3 linked regions of the Saccharomyces cerevisiae S288C genome follow. The gene in region 2 interacts genetically with the main gene of each other region. Each region holds a gene or a part of one and is shown on either strand. Other genes may lie near its edges.

Region 1 (4,071 bases), 1.4 Mb from region 2:
ACCACCAATATTTTTCTTGCCGTTCTCATTTCCTGCACAGTTTCTTTGATTATGTTTGCAGAAGAATTTCTTTATCGTTTAGTCTAAACAAAGAATTCGTTGTAAAGAATTTGAGAGCGGATCTTGCATTTTTTATTTATCATGCTTATGTTTTTTCTTTGATGTAAGAAGAAGCAAGTAAGATATGTGAATATCTTATCACTAATTCAAATAACTAAGAGAGCTCACAACGACAATTTGTGACAGCATGCGAAGCAAAGAGCAGTGATACCAGTATCTTTCATCCAGTAATAACATACGACTGATGTTATAGTTAAATGTTACATTTTGAGAGACTTCAACCTCTCGAAACCAAGAGGTTGGTTTTAACTCTGGTGACTTCAAGAAGGGTGGGTACCTTTTACAAAGCTTGAGACGAAGCAATAGTCAGTCTCTGTATAACAAGGAGACCACCTCATTTTCCAGTAACTCTTGAGGCATGTCGGATGGTTTGCCTTGAATAAACCGCAGTCATTATAATGAATGGCCTGTACTTTCAAAACAGTCTGGAAACAGAAATCCATTGCTGAGGTACCTTTTAGTAGCACTTTCGTTAGTGAAGGTTTAAGGTTAGTTCTTATTTACTGCACAAGAGTTTACATTTAACCACTCTAATAGTAACTGTTAGAGTGGTTTAACTGTTAGGTGATCTGTTCATTCCATTTTTCGTGTTGTATCTCAAGATGAGATAGCTTAGCGTTGCTACATACATAAATCTAAACATATAAACACCTGTGTAACTCGTTAACGTCTGGGCTTCCATGCTTCTACCATTTAGAATGATGTAGACCATTTATTCCAAGAGGATAAGCACCCTCTGTGATTCAAAATGATAATAAGTGTTGACGACAAGTTACTCTCGCAGAATTGTTGTCAACAGTCTTGTATTAGTTGTTATCCAACGCTCCCGTTTTCAAGTTCACTTAGCGCAAGTGGTTTAGTGGTAAAATCCAACGTTGCCATCGTTGGGCCCCCGGTTCGATTCCGGGCTTGCGCAAGTTTAATTTTTTTTCTTTTTCCACATTGTTTTCCACTTTGCACTCATTTCCAGTGTTTATTGTGAATGACAATTTCTTCAATCATTGAAATGATTGATTTTTTGGGATCTATTTTTCTCTTTAGTGGTTACTGATCAGGCAACTCTATATCATTGTTTAACCGCGGCTTGCGTATCTTATTTTCTTTTTCCTAGGCATCTTACTAAGGTACTCTTATCGCTAATCGCTTATCGCTTATCGTGCGCCAAAAACCGCCGGCGGCAATTTCGAGATGTTTTATGTCATGTTGGATTTTGCAATCTATTACCATGGAGGTGAGGGCCTTCGATGGTCCAATACCGGTGCACGTACCCATGTACGTTTATCGAATAAGGGGAGAACCTACTAATTTTAAGTCGGATAACGCGGCTTGGCACAGTAATCAGTTCCTTCTTTGGGTTAGAATCTTGATGTGAGATTGTGCTCAGTGATAATGATAGCGAATACGGCTTACTCTTGAATAACAAATGCATATATATTAAGAAGTAGTTCAAACGTATTCTGTTGACTGGCATGGTCCTTTCCTTCTTGTTGTGATTATATAAAACAGTATAAGCTGTTTACTTCAGTTGTGAAGTGTAACAAGGTCTTATAATTTATTATTACTAACAATGAGTATGTCAAGCAAAAACGAGAATAAGATATCAGTAGAACAAAGAATATCCACTGATATCGGTCAGGCTTACCAGTTACAAGGCCTTGGGTCTAACCTAAGGTCGATTCGCTCCAAGACTGGTGCCGGTGAAGTGAACTATATCGATGCTGCTAAATCTGTAAATGATAACCAACTGCTTGCAGAGATCGGTTATAAACAAGAATTAAAAAGACAATTTTCAACATTACAAGTTTTCGGTATTGCGTTCTCCATTATGGGTCTATTGCCCTCCATTGCATCTGTGATGGGTGGTGGGCTCGGTGGTGGTCCAGCAACATTAGTGTGGGGTTGGTTCGTTGCTGCGTTTTTCATTTTACTGGTGGGTATTACCATGGCTGAACATGCAAGTTCCATTCCTACCGCTGGTGGTTTGTACTACTGGACGTATTACTATGCTCCAGAAGGTTATAAAGAGATTATTTCTTTTATTATTGGTTGCTCAAACTCCCTAGCGTTGGCAGCCGGTGTGTGTTCCATTGATTACGGTTTGGCTGAGGAAATTGCTGCTGCTGTCACATTAACCAAAGATGGAAATTTTGAAGTAACGAGTGGGAAACTTTACGGTATATTTGCTGGAGCAGTGGTGGTTATGTGTATTTGTACATGTGTTGCTTCTGGGGCCATTGCTCGTCTGCAGACGCTAAGTATATTTGCCAATCTTTTCATTATTGTTTTATTGTTCATTGCGCTACCGATTGGTACCAAGCATAGAATGGGAGGTTTCAATGATGGTGACTTTATATTTGGGAAATATGAAAACTTAAGTGACTGGAATAATGGTTGGCAATTTTGTCTTGCTGGTTTCATGCCTGCTGTCTGGACTATTGGTTCCTTTGATTCATGTGTCCATCAATCTGAAGAAGCCAAAGATGCCAAGAAATCAGTCCCCATTGGTATAATCTCATCTATTGCTGTTTGTTGGATTTTAGGTTGGTTGATTATTATTTGTTTAATGGCCTGTATCAACCCTGATATTGACAGCGTTTTGGACTCCAAGTACGGCTTTGCTTTGGCTCAAATAATTTATGATTCGTTAGGAAAAAAATGGGCCATTGCATTTATGTCATTGATCGCATTCTGTCAATTTCTAATGGGTGCTTCCATTACCACAGCTGTTTCTAGACAAGTTTGGGCATTTTCCCGTGATAACGGTTTGCCCCTATCAAAGTATATTAAAAGAGTGGATTCTAAATACTCGGTCCCTTTTTTCGCTATTTTGGCTGCCTGTGTAGGTTCCTTGATTTTAGGATTGTTATGTTTGATTGATGATGCCGCCACTGATGCATTATTTAGTCTGGCTGTTGCAGGAAACAATTTGGCATGGAGTACCCCTACAGTTTTCCGTTTAACATCAGGTAGAGATTTATTTAGACCTGGTCCATTTTATTTGGGTAAAATCTGGTCTCCAATTGTTGCTTGGACAGGTGTTGCTTTCCAATTGTTCATTATTATTTTGGTTATGTTCCCCTCTCAACAACATGGTATTACTAAATCCACAATGAATTATGCATGCGTTATTGGTCCCGGTATCTGGATCCTTGCAGGTATCTACTACAAAGTTTACAAGAAGAAATACTACCACGGTCCAGCAACCAATTTGTCGGATGATGATTATACTGAAGCCGTTGGTGCTGATGTTATCGACACAATTATGTCCAAACAGGAACCATAAATGTTCAAACCTTTATAAAGATTTTATATTCAGAGTTTATAAGGTCTAGCTTATATAGTCAGTATTTTTAATTTAATTATATTATAGTTTATCCTATCTCACCGTTTTAGCTTGTTTTCTGCGCCCAAACATAAAAATCAAGAAGCGCGGATAATTTATGATCAGCTCAGCGGGAATGTTAATGGCAGATACTTAGAATTTGGTGGAAACGATTTTCTTCTCTAATCCTCATCAGAGGAGAGGTAATCGAGCAAGGGACCACCAAGCTTACCAACAGATGGCTTTGATGAAATATTTTCTCTACTGATATTTTTTTTCACTTTCTTCAATTTTTCTATAAAATCATCACTCTCCATTCCATTATCTAATGGCAATAGTCTTTTCTTGACATTATCAACACTTGCTTCTGGAAATGTCCTGTCTAACCTTTCATTATTCTTATTATTAACCTCAGTGCCAGCACTATTGGTATTGTTATTGATTAGATGCACCATCATGTTTAAAGACTCTAACTTCAGTTCTTCTTGCAGTCTTTTCTGTGCAGCGGGGTCTGGATCTTCATTTGCCCATTTCACCAATAGTCCAGTACCCTCCCTTCTATCATCCCATTCTTTATCGCTGGGTAGCAGCAATGTCTGATTGCTCATGGCTTCTTTGGCAAATTCTGC
Region 2 (2,945 bases):
CGTTAATGATAGAAAGGTACGTGGGACAAGACTCCCCGAACTTGGACCTCAGATGCCATCTTATTGAACATACTTTAACCATAATATATAGGCTATGGAAAGACCATTTCAAACAATTGCGTGAAGAACAAATCAAGCAGGTAGAAAGCCAATTGATTATGTCACTATGGAGGTTTCTCGTATGCCAAACCGAAACTGTGACAGCAAACGAAAGAGAAATGAGAGATCATCGACACCTTGTAGATAGTTTGCATGATCTGACGATAAAGGATCAAGCCTCTTATTACGAAGATGCCTTTGAGGATTTACCAGAATATATCGAAGAAGAATTGAAGATGCAATTGAATAAAAGAACGGGGAGAATAATGCAAGTAAAGTACGATGAGAAATTTCAAGAAATGGCAAGAACTATTCTTGAGTCAAAATCATTCGATCTAACCACACTAGAGGAGGCCGATTCATTATATATCTCAATGGGACTGTAAGGCAACAATCAAAAGGGGAAAATGTCAACGCTTTATAGAAACCTTGTAATGCTTAATATTAACTATATATAATTTATATTATTTTCGTTTTAGGAAAGAACAAAACTTATAGATAATATCAAATTTAAGCAGAAGTAGCCTTAGCAGAACCGGTTTGGAAACCGTTCTTAAATCTTCTGGAGACATGCTTCAAATATCTCATTCTACCGGTACCAGTAGTGTGTCTTCTCTTTGCCTTGGCAGCCCAGTTGTGAGATCTAGTCTTAGCGGATGGGTAACCACAAGAGGAACAGGTCTTCTTTTGAACATGGAAAGAACGACGACCACATCTGTTACACAAGGTGTGAGATTTGTTGTGACGCTTACCGAATGAAGGAGTACCCTCTGTTTAAAATGAAAACATAAAAGTTAATTATCGTTAGTAAAACTTTGAACTAAATAAACTCTACTGCTGGATTCAGAACAACTTCATTGGCGGTCTAGATGTGTGTTGCTGTCTTACACTATTTCTTCTCACCTTTTTGTATTGACACTCAAATCTTTTTATTCGCTCTTTATGCATCCGTTATGTGCAATTTCTTATCATCAATGGCTCTGGCAACATTCATCATTCTATATTTTTAAATCTTTTGGCATAGTGAATAACGTAGGTCTTAGTTTACCTGGCCTCTCCTGGTGGAAAATTTTTTCAGTGCTTCTTTCTCATGTAATCCTCTAAATCAGACCGGATGTGATTGAACGTTGACTCATCAATTAATAATTCCTGTACATACTACCCATCTTTACTTATATATTCGTTTACCTCTTTGTTCTTTATCTACACATAGTAGTGCTTTTTGTTACCGCTTTCTATAGTAACCTATGCTTACTATTCCAGCCATGTTTCCAATCTCATCCTTCCCGCAAGTGGCAGGAAGATTCTCAGTGATAATATTAGTGGTGTACGGAGTGCTTGAAGAAAAAAAAAACTGATATAGAACCCAAAAATGTTCGGCTTTTAAAATACAAATATGTACAGGTGTTAATGTCTAAATAATGATAATCCAAACGCGATAATTTTTTTTTCGCGTTTGTTTTTGTTTCAGAAGAATAAGTAAACACTTCTGCCTCTCCCAAGAAAGTTTAATTTCTCTCCTTATTTGCCGTTTCTATCGTTACTAGCAACGGGGAACAATATATAGAAGCGTTTTTTTTTTTGGTATACTATTTACACAATATTTGCCGATTTCATTAGTCTTTTCGCTAGAAGTTTCACGACAAAATCGTCACAATTTTGGTTATGTCCCATCTCTTCCCACCATCATCACCAGTTGCTGGTAAACCTTTGGAAAGCCCACAAAAAGAACCTGGTAAGCTTGCTAATACTTCTGTATTGACCTTAGGAAGAAAACGGTATAATTACGAATTGGAAGAGTATCCTACTCCAGACCCGTCGTCTAGCATCGGAAGACAATCTTCACCAGTGAAAGATATCACTTCACGTTTAAATGAGACCAAATCTGCCTTGTCATCTCCTTCAAAGCAAGAAAAGGTGCTTGCAGGCCCTATCGAGATTGAATTAGATGCATCGGATCCCTCACGTTTAGCCATCGGTAGGAAAAAATCAGTCTGCAACATTATTTTGCCATGCAGAAAGAATATCTCTAGGCAGCACGCTTTTATTTCATACGCCGCCGACAGAAATGAAATAAAATTGGAATGTAATGGAACTAATGGGTTGTCCGTTCACTTGCCTTACTCCATGCAGTTGCATTTGGTAAAACCCTTCCCAACAAGGAACTTTTATAAACTAGTGGCAGAAGAGCCTTTGACCTCGCAAAATACTAAACAATCGCATGGAAAAACTCTTCAAAAGAACCAAAACTTCATCAGCTTTGTTTTGGCTAAAGGTGAAACTGTTACTTTCCCCTATATCCAAGGAAGTTTCATAAATTTTACAGGCGTCACAGTCTGTCTTTCATTGAAAAAAGTAGCACCTTATCCTGGCGATGGCAACAATAACTTTGACGAAGAGAACTCGACAGAAACGGAGGATGAGTTGTGTTTATTAACAACAACGAGCGATGATTTTTCTTGGCAAAAAGAAACACCTTCGATGAAATTTGTCCCAGTTGAGCATTCACCTCGTACAGAACAGATCTCAAAACCATTACTTATTGCATCTCCTGCTCTTGTGAAAAACTCCCCCATTAGTTATAGAACAACACCCCAAACATCTTTCGTTATTAATCAGCCATCAACTCCAAAGAAACTGAAGCGTAAATCAATTTCATTGAAAAATAACACTATACAAGAGACACCACTTCCTAAAGATAAAATAATTGGGACATTAAGTGCCAGTACTAGGAGTGGTGGCATTAATGAAGAAGAATCTTTCGCAGCAGTTGCAAAAAAAACTAAAGAGCTGTCTTCTACAACCGCGATTGTATCTCCTGCACAAAAACGTCTTAAGACTTCATT
Region 3 (3,493 bases), on a different chromosome or scaffold from region 2:
AAGACTCAAGCCACTTCAGATGATTCCGATCAGTTGGAACAGATCACATCTAATTTAAAACTCTCATTGTCTAAGGCTGATGAAAAGAATTTTGAGCTACAGTCTGCCAATGAGAAACTTCTGAATTTAAATAACGAACTTAACAAGAAATTTGATCGATTACTAAAAAATTATCGTTCATTGTCCTCTCAATTGAATGCTTTAAAGGAAAGACAATACAGTGACAAGTCAGGAAGAGTTAGTAGGTCTGGTTCTATCGGTACTCTAGCTAACGCGAATATTGATTCCTCACCAGCGAATAACTCTAATCCAACTAAATTAGAGAAGATACGATCATCAAGTTCATTGGAGTTAGACTCTGAGAAAAATGAAAAAATTGCATATATAAAAAATGTTTTGTTGGGATTTTTGGAGCACAAGGAACAACGGAACCAATTACTTCCTGTAATTTCTATGTTGTTACAACTGGACAGTACTGATGAAAAAAGACTGGTTATGTCTCTGAAGTAAAAATGTAGCTGAAAGCAGAAGATACGTATATATTGAAACAGTTTTTTTCTTCCTGAAATATATCAAGAAGTTGCTGCATGTCTATATATAAAATACTAAAGCAATTTCTTTTTAAATTGTAATTTAATTCTTCCTTATTTTCTTCAATTCCCTGAAAATTAGGACAAGAATTCTTTTATGTAATCAATTCCGCCGACACAATGAGAAACTGTTGATTGATCATCACCTATCAACTTATTTATTTTAATGGCAAGATCGACAGTTTTTTCCGTTGAATCGTGTTCTAATATTAATCCGGTTCCTGACTTGTTCCAGTTTATTACATTTTGAAGAATTTCTTGTTCAGTTATGACAGAATCATTGAGAAGGAGGCTCCAATCAAAAGTATCGTGATCCCATAAGACGGCTTGTAAGCCAAATTGCCTTGTTATTGCTCTTACTCTATTATCTATTCCGCCATATGGAGGTCTGAACCATTTGGGGGTATGGTTGCCAGTAGCATTCATCGCCCAGATGGACCATTCAATTTGAGCTATAATTTTTTCATTCGATACATTTGGCAAATATACGTGAGACCAGGTATGTGAGCCGATTAAGTGTCCCTCCTTTTGCATTCTTTGATAGATATCTGGATGTTGAACTATATTGACACCTAAATTGAAGAAGGTGGAATTATGCTTCAACCGGTCCAATAATTTAGTAGTGGAAGCAGAAGGACCATCGTCAAATGTCTGGGAAAGTTTGGAACATGTGTACACATCATCGTGTTCGGTGCAGTGATGGCAATCGAAAGAGCACGAGTCCCTTGGAACACTGTCGCAATGGTTTTGATCATATTCCTTATAATCTGGAATTTGACTGAAATCAATGAAATCTAAAGGTATATAAGGTGGATCTAACCCAGGCCATTCTTTTAACCCGGTAAATGCACTAAGCCAATCCGGAAAAGGCGTTTTTGTAGCTGCCCTTTCCAATACAGGAAATTGAAAGTCTATCTGCTTTAAATCTTCCCTATTAGCTTCCGCGTGAACAAATTGCCCCAGACAGGAAAGTGCAATAATACATTGCAAATCAATTGTATTTAGTTGTATTCTCATTTTCAATTGCCGATCCGTAGAAATAATAACAACTCTTTTGCAGTTTGTTTACCCACTGTGGGTTTTTGATAAATAATAGAGGATTACTGAAGGAGAGAGAATATTTTAAATGGATTTTGATAATACTACAAAAGAATAGCCAGTAATTTTTGCGTTGCGTCACAAAATCAAATATCTAGTTTGTTCCCTGACGCATGTTTCTCATGTGTTACCCGTCCTTTTGTAACCTTCACTGCTACAGCCGTACTATGTGGCATTTATGGGTTAATAGAAAGTTCCATTAATCCGACATTAAAATTGGATGGATTAATGGAGAACACAAAGGCAAAAAAACAATGGAAGAACAAAGAAAATTTAGCGGAAGTAAAAATAACAGCCGAAAGCCAAATTCAGGCTTATCTTGCCTACTCTTTCTTTTATCGAATTCCTTTAGGCCGTTGCAATAGAAAAGTAATAAAAACGCATATACGTAAGTTGTAGTCAGTGTAATTGCAATCTATTATGCGCATCAGGTGCGCATACTACATCCATTGGTGCACAAAAAAAGGAACGCAGACAAGAAAATTATTCAGTTTGCTGTTCGTGATGAGCCATCCCTGAATATGACTAATGTTAATGTTCAATTTGGGATCTTATTTTTTTTTGTGCAGTAATAAGAATCTTTGAAAAAAAACTATATAAGCCTATATAGTTTGTAAGATATAAGACAAAACACACCTGCTTTTCCACTACACATTTTCGTTATTATATAAAAAAGACAGCCAAGTATACTTGTCAACAAAATAAACTCATAGCAATTACACTATAAAAACAATAGCATCAAAAATGTCACTAAGAAACATATCAATGATCACAAAAAATTTGCAAACAACTGCCAAGTGTTATGTCCCAAAAAGTTCACCTACATCAACAACTATTCCGGTTATAAGGGATGCTAGTACTACTCAATGTCGCAGAATAACTACCGTCATCAATATTACGAGTCTGAAAGGATATTCTCCATCTCCAAGAACAGTTCATGATAAGCCAATTGTTATTTGCACTGACAACGAAGAGGTAGAGACTGTATCGGAGCACGTAAAAGTATAATTTGAATTAATCTACTCTTAACACTGTTCAAATGTACGTGTAACGTTTTGACGCTAAAAGATTCTAAAAAATTACTTTTTAAAGTTATACCCTCTGACTTTATGTGACATCAGCATCCTAAGTACCTACCGTTCATAATTTGACGCTTTTCCTTATACATTCAAGCATCGATATATATGATTTTTATATATGTCCTCTATTCTAATACATACTTTTTTACTTTTGAAATAACAAAATATTCTTTTTATTTTTGCGAGTTGAATAATTAAATAAGAGATCAAAGATATATAGAGAGAAACTTTATTTCTCGGAAATCTTACTTCTAGTCGTAGCGTTCGATGTAGTCTGTATCACCAATACATTCTGCAATTGTCAATTGGTCACTACCAATAAGTTCGTTGATTTTAATAGCAACCTCAACTGTTCTTCGTGCACCATCGTGCTCTAAGATCAAACCTTTCCGTTTTCCCTTCCAAGTATTTATGTCCATAAGTATTTCTTCCTCTGTTCTGAAATCATCATTAGTGATTAATTTCCAATCAAAAGTATCGAGATCCCACAAGACAACCGTTAGGCCAAACTGTTTTACTATAGCTCTAACCCTATTATCAATTGCACCGTATGGAGGCCTAAAATACTTGGGGAAATGTTTGCCTGTGGCATTCATAGCCCAAATTGACCATTCAATTTGGGCTACAATTTCTTCGTTTGATAAACTTGGCAAGAATTCATGTGACCACGTGTGTGTACCAATCAAATGACCCCTCTCTAAAATATGCTCATATATATCAGGATAA

The links.
Region 1: mutations in RPL37B (region 2) and UGA4 impair growth when combined (synthetic growth defect), as found in Saccharomyces cerevisiae (one large-scale study listed by BioGRID).
Region 3: mutations in RPL37B (region 2) and CDA2 impair growth when combined (synthetic growth defect), as found in Saccharomyces cerevisiae (one large-scale study listed by BioGRID).

The regions. Positions count from the first base shown.
Region 1 is NC_001136.10:82,583-86,653, forward strand, and holds UGA4 (Uga4p), read left to right. Parts: upstream 1-1,687; coding exon 1,688-3,403; downstream 3,404-4,071. Other genes in the region: active spliceosome conformation promoter CWC2, read right to left, coding at 3,625-4,071. UniProt on the Saccharomyces cerevisiae protein: Required for high-affinity, high-specificity GABA transport. Also transports putrescine.
Region 2 is NC_001136.10:1,449,589-1,452,533, forward strand, and holds RPL37B (60S ribosomal protein eL37 RPL37B), read right to left. Parts: upstream 1,266-2,945; coding exon 1,259-1,265; intron 870-1,258; coding exon 610-869; downstream 1-609. Other genes in the region: LCD1 (Lcd1p), read left to right, coding at 1-485; PLM2 (Plm2p), read left to right, coding at 1,765-2,945.
Region 3 is NC_001144.5:746,051-749,543, reverse strand, and holds CDA2 (chitin deacetylase CDA2), read right to left. Parts: upstream 1,608-3,493; coding exon 669-1,607; downstream 1-668. Other genes in the region: IMH1 (Imh1p), read left to right, coding at 1-510; DPA10 (Dpa10p), read left to right, coding at 2,433-2,696; chitin deacetylase CDA1, read right to left, coding at 3,019-3,493. UniProt on the Saccharomyces cerevisiae protein: Hydrolyzes the N-acetamido groups of N-acetyl-D-glucosamine residues in chitin to form chitosan and acetate. Chitosan is a component of the spore wall.